3 linked regions of the Saccharomyces cerevisiae S288C genome follow. The gene in region 3 interacts genetically with the main gene of each other region. Each region holds a gene or a part of one and is shown on either strand. Other genes may lie near its edges. The genes, in order: GPM2, YAL064W and HSP31.

Region 1 (3,173 bases), 1.1 Mb from region 3:
CCCGTATCTGTAGCCAATTGAAAGGTCATGTTGATTCACACGTCAGAGCTATCTCCTGTCTAAAGGGTTTTGAAGTTGGTGCTAAAGGTGTCCAATTGCTATCCTCTTACATCACTGAGGAACTAGGTATTCAATGTGGTGCTCTATCTGGTGCTAACATTGCCACCGAAGTCGCTCAAGAACACTGGTCTGAAACAACAGTTGCTTACCACATTCCAAAGGATTTCAGAGGCGAGGGCAAGGACGTCGACCATAAGGTTCTAAAGGCCTTGTTCCACAGACCTTACTTCCACGTTAGTGTCATCGAAGATGTTGCTGGTATCTCCATCTGTGGTGCTTTGAAGAACGTTGTTGCCTTAGGTTGTGGTTTCGTCGAAGGTCTAGGCTGGGGTAACAACGCTTCTGCTGCCATCCAAAGAGTCGGTTTGGGTGAGATCATCAGATTCGGTCAAATGTTTTTCCCAGAATCTAGAGAAGAAACATACTACCAAGAGTCTGCTGGTGTTGCTGATTTGATCACCACCTGCGCTGGTGGTAGAAACGTCAAGGTTGCTAGGCTAATGGCTACTTCTGGTAAGGACGCCTGGGAATGTGAAAAGGAGTTGTTGAATGGCCAATCCGCTCAAGGTTTAATTACCTGCAAAGAAGTTCACGAATGGTTGGAAACATGTGGCTCTGTCGAAGACTTCCCATTATTTGAAGCCGTATACCAAATCGTTTACAACAACTACCCAATGAAGAACCTGCCGGACATGATTGAAGAATTAGATCTACATGAAGATTAGATTTATTGGAGAAAGATAACATATCATACTTTCCCCCACTTTTTTCGAGGCTCTTCTATATCATATTCATAAATTAGCATTATGTCATTTCTCATAACTACTTTATCACGTTAGAAATTACTTATTATTATTAAATTAATACAAAATTTAGTAACCAAATAAATATAAATAAATATGTATATTTAAATTTTAAAAAAAAAATCCTATAGAGCAAAAGGATTTTCCATTATAATATTAGCTGTACACCTCTTCCGCATTTTTTGAGGGTGGTTACAACACCACTCATTCAGAGGCTGTCGGCACAGTTGCTTCTAGCATCTGGCGTCCGTATGTATGGGTGTATTTTAAATAATAAACAAAGTGCCACACCTTCACCAATTATGTCTTTAAGAAATGGACAAGTTCCAAAGAGCTTGCCCAAGGCTCGACAAGGATGTACTTTGGAATATCTATATTCAAGTACGTGGCGCGCATATGTTTGAGTGTGCACACAATAAAGGTTTTTAGATATTTTGCGGCGTCCTAAGAAAATAAGGGGTTTCTTAAAAAATAACAATAGCAAACAAAGTTCCTTACGATGATTTCAGATGTGAATAGCATGGTCATGATGAGTATATACGTTTTTATAAATAATTAAAAGTTTTCCTCTTGTCTGTTTTTTTGTTGGCTCGTGGTTGTTCTCGAAAAAGGAGAGTTTTCATTTTCGAAATAGGTGATTATCATCATGTTGTTATCACCCCACGACGAAGATAATACGGAGCTCACCGTTTTCTTTTTTTTTCCCTTTGGCTGAAATTTCCCACCAGAACAAACGTGACAAAATTATCTTTGAATCCAAAGTAGCTTATATATATACGTAGAAGTGTTTCGAGACACACATCCAAATACGAGGTTGTTCAATTTAAACCCAAGAATACATAAAAAAAATATAGATATATTAACTTAGTAAACAATGACTGCAAGCACACCATCCAATGTCATGACATTGTTCTTGTTAAGGCATGGACAAAGTGAATTGAATCACGAGAATATATTCTGTGGTTGGATTGACGCTAAGCTAACCGAAAAAGGTAAAGAACAAGCTCGTCATTCTGCCGAGCTAATCGAACAATATTGTAAAGCTAATAATTTGAGATTACCCCAGATTGGTTACACCTCACGTTTAATTAGGACCCAACAGACCATAGAAACGATGTGTGAAGAATTTAAGTTAAAGCCACAACTGCAGGTTGTTTACGACTTTAATAAAATCAAACTTGGAGACGAATTTGGCAGTGATGACAAGGATAATATGAAAATCCCGATTCTTCAAACTTGGAGGCTAAATGAACGTCATTACGGTTCCTGGCAGGGCCAGAGGAAACCGAATGTTTTAAAAGAATATGGTAAGGATAAATATATGTTCATTAGGAGAGATTACGAGGGTAAGCCACCACCTGTAGATCTTGACCGTGAGATGATTCAACAAGAAAATGAGAAGGGCTCTTCTACTGGGTACGAATTCAAGGAGCCAAACAGACAAATAAAATATGAATTGGAATGCAGCAATCATGACATTGTATTACCGGATTCCGAATCTCTTCGTGAAGTGGTTTATAGATTGAATCCTTTTCTACAAAATGTCATATTAAAATTAGCCAATCAATATGATGAATCTTCATGCCTGATTGTGGGCCATGGAAGTTCAGTGAGATCGCTACTGAAAATTCTGGAGGGTATATCAGATGATGACATCAAGAATGTTGATATTCCAAATGGTATCCCCTTAGTCGTTGAATTAGATAAGAATAATGGTCTTAAGTTTATCAGAAAATTCTACCTAGATCCTGAATCTGCTAAGATCAATGCTGAGAAAGTCCGTAATGAGGGTTTCATAAAAAATCCTTAAGGGGGGTAAGTATATAATATAATTGTGTATTTTCCGAAGTATAATGAAAACCAATAGAAAACTTATTATAAGTCCAATGAGGTACTTTAAAAATGTGATATTTATAAGAACATTCCTGAATGCAGATATATGATATATATTGTAAATATATATAGATGTGTATATGTATTTCCATTTTGTGTGAGGTTTTCTTCTTTTATCTCCTATATAATTTGTAACCTTAATTAACCCATGACATAACCAATATTAGCCTTTGCAAATTTTGTAACTTCTTGACGTTGTTCTAACGACAAATCTTCATGCTTCGATTTTATATGCCTTGTTAAAGCATCCAGTCTCGAAAACGTCTTCTGATAGCCCTCAGATCCAAGAATTTTTATACACTCCGAGCAACGGAAGACAATCTTCCTTTTAGCGTGAATGGTATTTTGGTGTCTCGTTAAATCATAGGACCTTGAAAATTGGGCACCACACGGTTCATTTGTAATGAGATTCATTAT
Region 2 (2,920 bases), on a different chromosome or scaffold from region 3:
CATTATTTCCTCTTCTGTTTAATATGCTGTCCTTAATTTTCATGTTACATTATCAACTTTTGCATTTCAGTGTCCATTAGATCTTGGGACCATTTCCTCAATCTTCATGTCGTCTTTTCACACCGTATATAATATACTAGTAATATAAGTACTAGTCGATAGCTCGCAGTTGAGTCTTATTCCAACAGTTAATGACTCACTGTGCTTTCTGTTGCTGTAGAATTTCTGAGGCATTGTCGCTCTCTTCTATGTGATGCTACAACGGAACTAGGCTTCTTATATATCGTGGTCCTACAAGATCTTGGTATCTCGTTTGCTTACTTTGAAGCTTCACTGATATATAGTACTTAAACCACTTTTATGTTCATGGATAATCGTAATTGTACTACGCTGGTACCAGTTATGAACCCTATCAAATCATCATTGAACACTGCTATTTTTAACTAATCAAGATATATATGCGGCGTACTTTATAATTTCACGACACTATTGAAAGCAAACTAAAAATCAAGTAAATACCTATCCAAGTTGCGGGCTCTGGATTTATGTGGCCTTAAATTTTCGACCTATGGTTCGCTATTCAATATTAGAAAACCAAAATTAGGTACAAGTACTGATTGCGTCCGTGATTTGAAGAGCAGCGTTAAAAGATTACAAGATTTTGCGTGTCTTGGCCGACACTTAACTTTAAGCGTCTCGACTTGGTAACATGAGTTGCCAAAAGTTTTTCTCTCCAATCTGAATATGGGGAACCGGAATCTGTCTTTGACCTGACTTTCAAATTGTTGCATATGTAAAAAAAAAACAGAAGAAATATTATCTTGTCCTTCTAGCGATGCAAAAGGATTCATTACAAATCGTTGCAAAGGCCGAAAAGTTGCAGTATATTCGCATTGCTTATTTGAAGTACGTTTGTATACACATCGATAGTATTCATTAACACCACAACGGCTGAGTATACTATGTCAAACAGCACAATAAAGCCTGTCTGCGATTTTTTCCTCTACGTTCAAAAATCTCATTCAAGGCATAATCCCATATGTTGAAGATCGCTACCCATTGTTACAGGCAAACTGAATTTTTGGAAATGAGCTTGTACTTAGTAAATTTCTCTTTGCTTGCATCTTTTTCTTCCTTGTCAAAAAATAAAAGATACTCATTTTAAAAGCGCAGCCATATTGACTAAGTAAGTAATTATAATACTATGAGTAATTTTTGAGTACTGTGCTCATTTATTAGCTGCTTTTCTGAGAAAGATCCTCGATAATCAACTCCAGGTTAGTGGGGCGCTTCTACGGTCTCTTCTAACCAATTGTTCCCCGTGAGTTGCTTTCTCCGAAAACCTTATTATACATTAGGGTTATAAGAAAATTTTCTTTTTCCCGTAGATTAACTTGCAATGCCGAACTTCTAGATGTCACACCAGACCGTTTGACACCGCCATTTTCCTTCCTTTTCGGAAAAATGTGCCGATAAATGGTAAGACGCGACGCCACCGCTGCGAATATTGCGCTTATGATGAAGCAAAAGGAAAAAGCAAGTTCCCCTTAAATTCGTATAACTGTTTCATCAATCTTTAGTTCTGGCATTTGAAAGTTAATTAAACTTTTCTTCGTGGTTTCTACAGGAGTTCTGCATGTGCGTAATTCGAAGCCTGTGAAGGAAAAAGTATTGTCCTAAACAACAGCCGTAGAATACGTCAACTATAGTTTAAAATATTTTCTGGCTCTACCCGGTGCGATAGGTCTGGCTCTTTTCTATTTACTTTTGTTTGGAGTTGTTGAGGCCGATACCCGTCTAGATGTAAATATGAAATAACAGTTCGAGGTTTTATTACGAGAATGGAAAGGGTAATGGATTGGAGCATGTGTAAATGTCAATAGCAGAAAAAATTTACCGCAAATTGTTTCGTAGTCTTATCTTCATCGGACACTCAAGGGTTGCATAATTTTTACCCAAAGGAACAGTATACTTTTTTAATAAAAAAATCATGTTACCTATGGAGTATTGTAAGCATTTTCAGAAACTCGTCTTTTGAGTTCTAAATGCATCATACAACAACAACAATTTCTTATTACTGTGTCCTTTTGGGATTTTTCAGCCTTCCTGGCTTACCCAAAATAGCCTCTCAAGGTGAAAAAAACCATGCCTGCAAGCGGATCTAAGGATGAGTAGCTGGATTACAATAAATCCTGAATTTTCTCTGAGTGTCAACTTTGTCAGCGCTTGTTAAAGGGCTACTACGCTGAAAAAGAACCTGAACCCCGTTAATAGGTTGACGATTTTATGACTTGGTATGCTATTCCATACGGCGGCTCTCCTGATTGCGGTGGGTCATTGCTATAACAGTAAAATCAAGGAAGATAACAGGAAGAGTAACTTTAGTACAATAAATCTGTTGTCTACCGAGGATTATAATTGTTCGGCTTTCACACTAAGTTGAAAGGGGACTCAGGAAATGACAGGGTACGTTTTAGTTTCTTCAAATAAATCTTCCACACCCAGCTTCAATGTGGTAAACGGGGGAAAGTTGATTAGTTGATGTTGACACGTATATTTAACTGATGTAGAGAAGAACAACATACTACTAACGTCACAGTCAATTGTGCCAGTTTTCCAATCAAGATAATGTAAAAGTAATTGATATATGTTCGTACTGGTTTCCCAATTTCCGGGAAAAACTGTGTACATGGGTGCAATTCCTTGTGGTTATTTCCTTTTAAGTTATATTGCCAACCACATCATAGTACTATTTGCGGTCACTTCAGAAGATATGTTTGCTCCTTTGACCATGATATAGACCAGACCAACTGTACCGCTTCAGACTTCAGAGCATTAGGAATAAGCACCACTATTACACAACCATAGAGCTACTCTTACTGCCACGTAGGTAAAACACTTGCTACTACACACACTCGTA
Region 3 (3,392 bases):
TGTTGCTGAACCTTCTGCCTCTACTGATGAAGGATCTGGTTCGAGTATAACTACCACTATTACAGCCACCAAAAATGGACATGTCTACACAAAGACCGTCACCCAGGACGCTACTTTCGTATGGACTGGTGAGGGTGAACGCGCTCCTGCCTCCACCGTTGCAACTTCTAGTATTTCTGCTATTGAAATTCCCTCCACTACTGAGGCCTCTATTGTGGAGGCTTCTTCTGCTGTTGAGACTTCCTCTGCTGCTGAGACTTCCTCTGCTGTTGAGACTTCCTCTGCTGTTGAGACTTCCTCTGCTGTTGAGACTTCTTCTGCTGCTGAGACTTCCTCTGCTGCTGAGACTTCCTCTGCCGTTGAGACTTCCTCTGCTGTTGAGATTTCTTCTGCTGTTGAGACTTCTGCTGTTGAGACTTCTTCTTCTTCCTCTACTATCGAGACCACTTCTGTTAAAAGCTTATCTCCTACTCAGACTTCTCTTTCATCTTCTGTCCAGGCTTCTTCTCCTATTGAGACTTCTTCTGCTGCAAAAACCTCTTCTGTTGTGCCAACTTTTTCTTCTACTACTACTGAAAATTCCTCTAATTCTAAATCCACGTCTGCAGTTGTAGCATCTACTACCACCTCCTCTGAGTCAAGCGCTACTATTGTTACTCCTACTAGAATTGGGCAAGCTTACACAGAGAGTTCTTCTAGGGATGCCCAATCTGTTCGTACCCATGAAAGTAACAATTGGTCATCAAGTTCTTCTGCAAGCACAAAAATGGTATCCTCTATTACAAGAGTTCAAACCACTACCGCTGGTATTTTCACTAACGGTAAGTCGTCCACAACTCCTCAAATCGTGAATTACACGGGTGCGGCTGATTCTATCGCCGCTGGTACGGGTCTGATGGGCGCTGCGCTCGCTGCCGTTATCTTTTTGTAATTTCTGCTAACGACAGATGCGCAGAATCAACCTTTCTGATCTCTCCGTGGTCTTACTTTTCAAAATGGCATTGTGAATTAAGTATTTCATCATAGTTGATAAAGCTTATGTCCGCAATGTTATTTGTCTGCGTGACACTGGCTGTCTATAAGAATGTACCAGTATGTAATATTATATCAAGAAAATATCAGGTGTTGATTAAAATAATCTAAAAACAATGTCTATTTCACTTGTTAAATATGACTTTTCAAAAATAACCATTTTATTTATTTCTTGCTTTTTAAAAGGTGAGAGTGGGTATTTGTTTTATCTGACGCCAAGGAAAATAAAAGTTAAAAAATGACATGATGATTTTATAGTTCAAAACAAGAAATGAACTTTCGTGTTTGTGATCAGATTCAAATGGAGTATAATACTGAAAGAAGGTCGAGAAAGACAAGCAAGCAAATTCACAACTTCATTGAGCGCATTTTATTGAAATTACCTGTAGCAATGAGTAGTTCAGTTTGTCATATAATTATGTTTTTGTGAGAAATTTTAGCTTTTGGTACTGTGCCAGTTATCCGAATTTAAAAAAAAAAGTTATATATGGCTGTAATAATTTAGGTCAGAGAGAAGAAAACACGAAGTTTACTACGTGTATTAAAAATAGAACATTAAACATGCACCAAATGCTTTAATGAACACTTTCGGAAGAATAAGCCCATAAAAAAATCACGACGTACCGTTGCGACAGATAGGATCGTTCTTTCTAGGAGATTTTTTAGCTGCTACGGAATAAAAGAAATAATGCTGACTAATACGCAGGATATCCATGGGAGGCGGCTTTTTGTTCTGACGGATCCATAAATCCCGTAAAGAAATCTGGGCGAATGTATACAGAGAATTAACGTTACTCATTCCTAGCCTGAAAATCAAAAAGCTTGGCATAAGGGGCATGTACATAGTCTTCATGAAAGAAATGGAAAATTTTTTCAAGGGATGGCTTCACGGTTCCATTATTGCTTCCGGTTTCCGTTACCCTTTAAATCAGATATATAAACAGCCATAAGGAGAACCATTCATTTCTTTATCATCCGCTAAATTTTATTAACGGCATTTTTAAGTACTTCCCACTGGCTAATTACACAGATAAAACTCAAACAAATTTATAATGGCCCCAAAAAAAGTTTTACTCGCTCTTACCTCATATAACGATGTATTCTACAGTGACGGCGCCAAGACCGGTGTTTTTGTTGTAGAAGCCTTACATCCCTTCAACACATTCCGAAAAGAAGGTTTTGAAGTCGATTTTGTATCTGAAACCGGAAAATTTGGTTGGGATGAGCATTCCTTAGCCAAAGATTTTCTAAATGGTCAAGACGAAACGGATTTTAAAAATAAAGACTCAGATTTCAACAAGACATTGGCTAAAATTAAGACACCAAAAGAGGTGAATGCCGATGATTACCAAATTTTTTTTGCATCTGCAGGCCACGGTACCTTATTTGACTATCCTAAGGCTAAAGACTTGCAGGACATTGCTTCCGAAATTTATGCTAACGGTGGTGTTGTCGCAGCTGTTTGTCACGGTCCTGCTATTTTTGATGGGTTAACAGACAAAAAAACAGGAAGACCATTGATCGAAGGTAAATCTATCACCGGTTTTACTGATGTTGGTGAAACCATTTTGGGTGTTGATAGTATTTTGAAAGCCAAGAATTTGGCAACCGTTGAAGATGTTGCTAAAAAATATGGCGCTAAGTATTTAGCTCCGGTTGGGCCCTGGGATGATTACTCTATTACTGACGGAAGACTGGTAACAGGTGTGAATCCTGCTTCTGCGCACTCCACTGCCGTAAGATCCATCGACGCTTTAAAAAACTGAGCCAAAGGTTGATAATTAGAATTTCCTTTGTACTACTATATAGATGTAAGGAACTTTAGGAGGCGTTATTGAGTACGAGGGATGTACCTCATTGTTAATACGTTGAAATATTTGGATATTGGGGAAACACATGTCTGAGATGGGTCTTCCAATAACCAAAGTTTATAATCTTTATCTTTTATCTGCTTTAGCTAGAGGTTAATAGTGAAGACTACATTTGGTCTCCAACAAGGTGCTACAATTTATTTTTCAGCCACTCCGTTGCACAGCATTTATCTAGCCAACGTTAATATCAATGAGAATGGAGAAGAAAGCATTAGCGTCGTTACGCTGCAAATCATCTATGCAATATGTAAAACTATACATAAAACTTTCTAAATTTTTTTTTTTTCATTTTGGTATTTCTGTCAGCTGCCGATGCTTCCTAAAGGGTTTATTCATGTGGGACATTGTAGGTGTGTTTCAGTTATCTAATGGTTATTTGCATCTTAGTGAGCTGTTCCTTGCGGTTTCTTGCTAAATGATCACGAAAAATGTTTTTTTCTCAGGTTAATTATGGCAGAATGTCGACACGAATTGGTCATATTGAAAATA

Evidence for each region.
Region 1: mutations in HSP31 (region 3) and GPM2 together harm fitness more than expected from each alone (negative genetic interaction), as found in Saccharomyces cerevisiae (one large-scale study listed by BioGRID).
Region 2: mutations in HSP31 (region 3) and YAL064W together harm fitness more than expected from each alone (negative genetic interaction), as found in Saccharomyces cerevisiae (one large-scale study listed by BioGRID).

What each region holds. Positions count from the first base shown.
Region 1 is NC_001136.10:412,216-415,388, forward strand, and holds GPM2 (phosphoglycerate mutase family protein GPM2), read left to right. Parts: upstream 1-1,737; coding exon 1,738-2,673; downstream 2,674-3,173. Other genes in the region: glycerol-3-phosphate dehydrogenase (NAD(+)) GPD1, read left to right, coding at 1-785; stress-regulated transcription factor RPN4, read right to left, coding at 2,898-3,173. UniProt on the Saccharomyces cerevisiae protein: Could be non-functional.
Region 2 is NC_001133.9:19,497-22,416, reverse strand, and holds YAL064W (uncharacterized protein), read right to left. Parts: upstream 852-2,920; coding exon 567-851; downstream 1-566. Other genes in the region: YAL063C-A (uncharacterized protein), read left to right, coding at 1-22.
Region 3 is NC_001136.10:1,500,853-1,504,244, reverse strand, and holds HSP31 (glutathione-independent methylglyoxalase), read left to right. Parts: upstream 1-2,084; coding exon 2,085-2,798; downstream 2,799-3,392. Other genes in the region: FIT1 (Fit1p), read left to right, coding at 1-931. UniProt on the Saccharomyces cerevisiae protein: Catalyzes the conversion of methylglyoxal (MG) to D-lactate in a single glutathione (GSH)-independent step. May play a role in detoxifying endogenously produced glyoxals. Involved in protection against reactive oxygen species (ROS).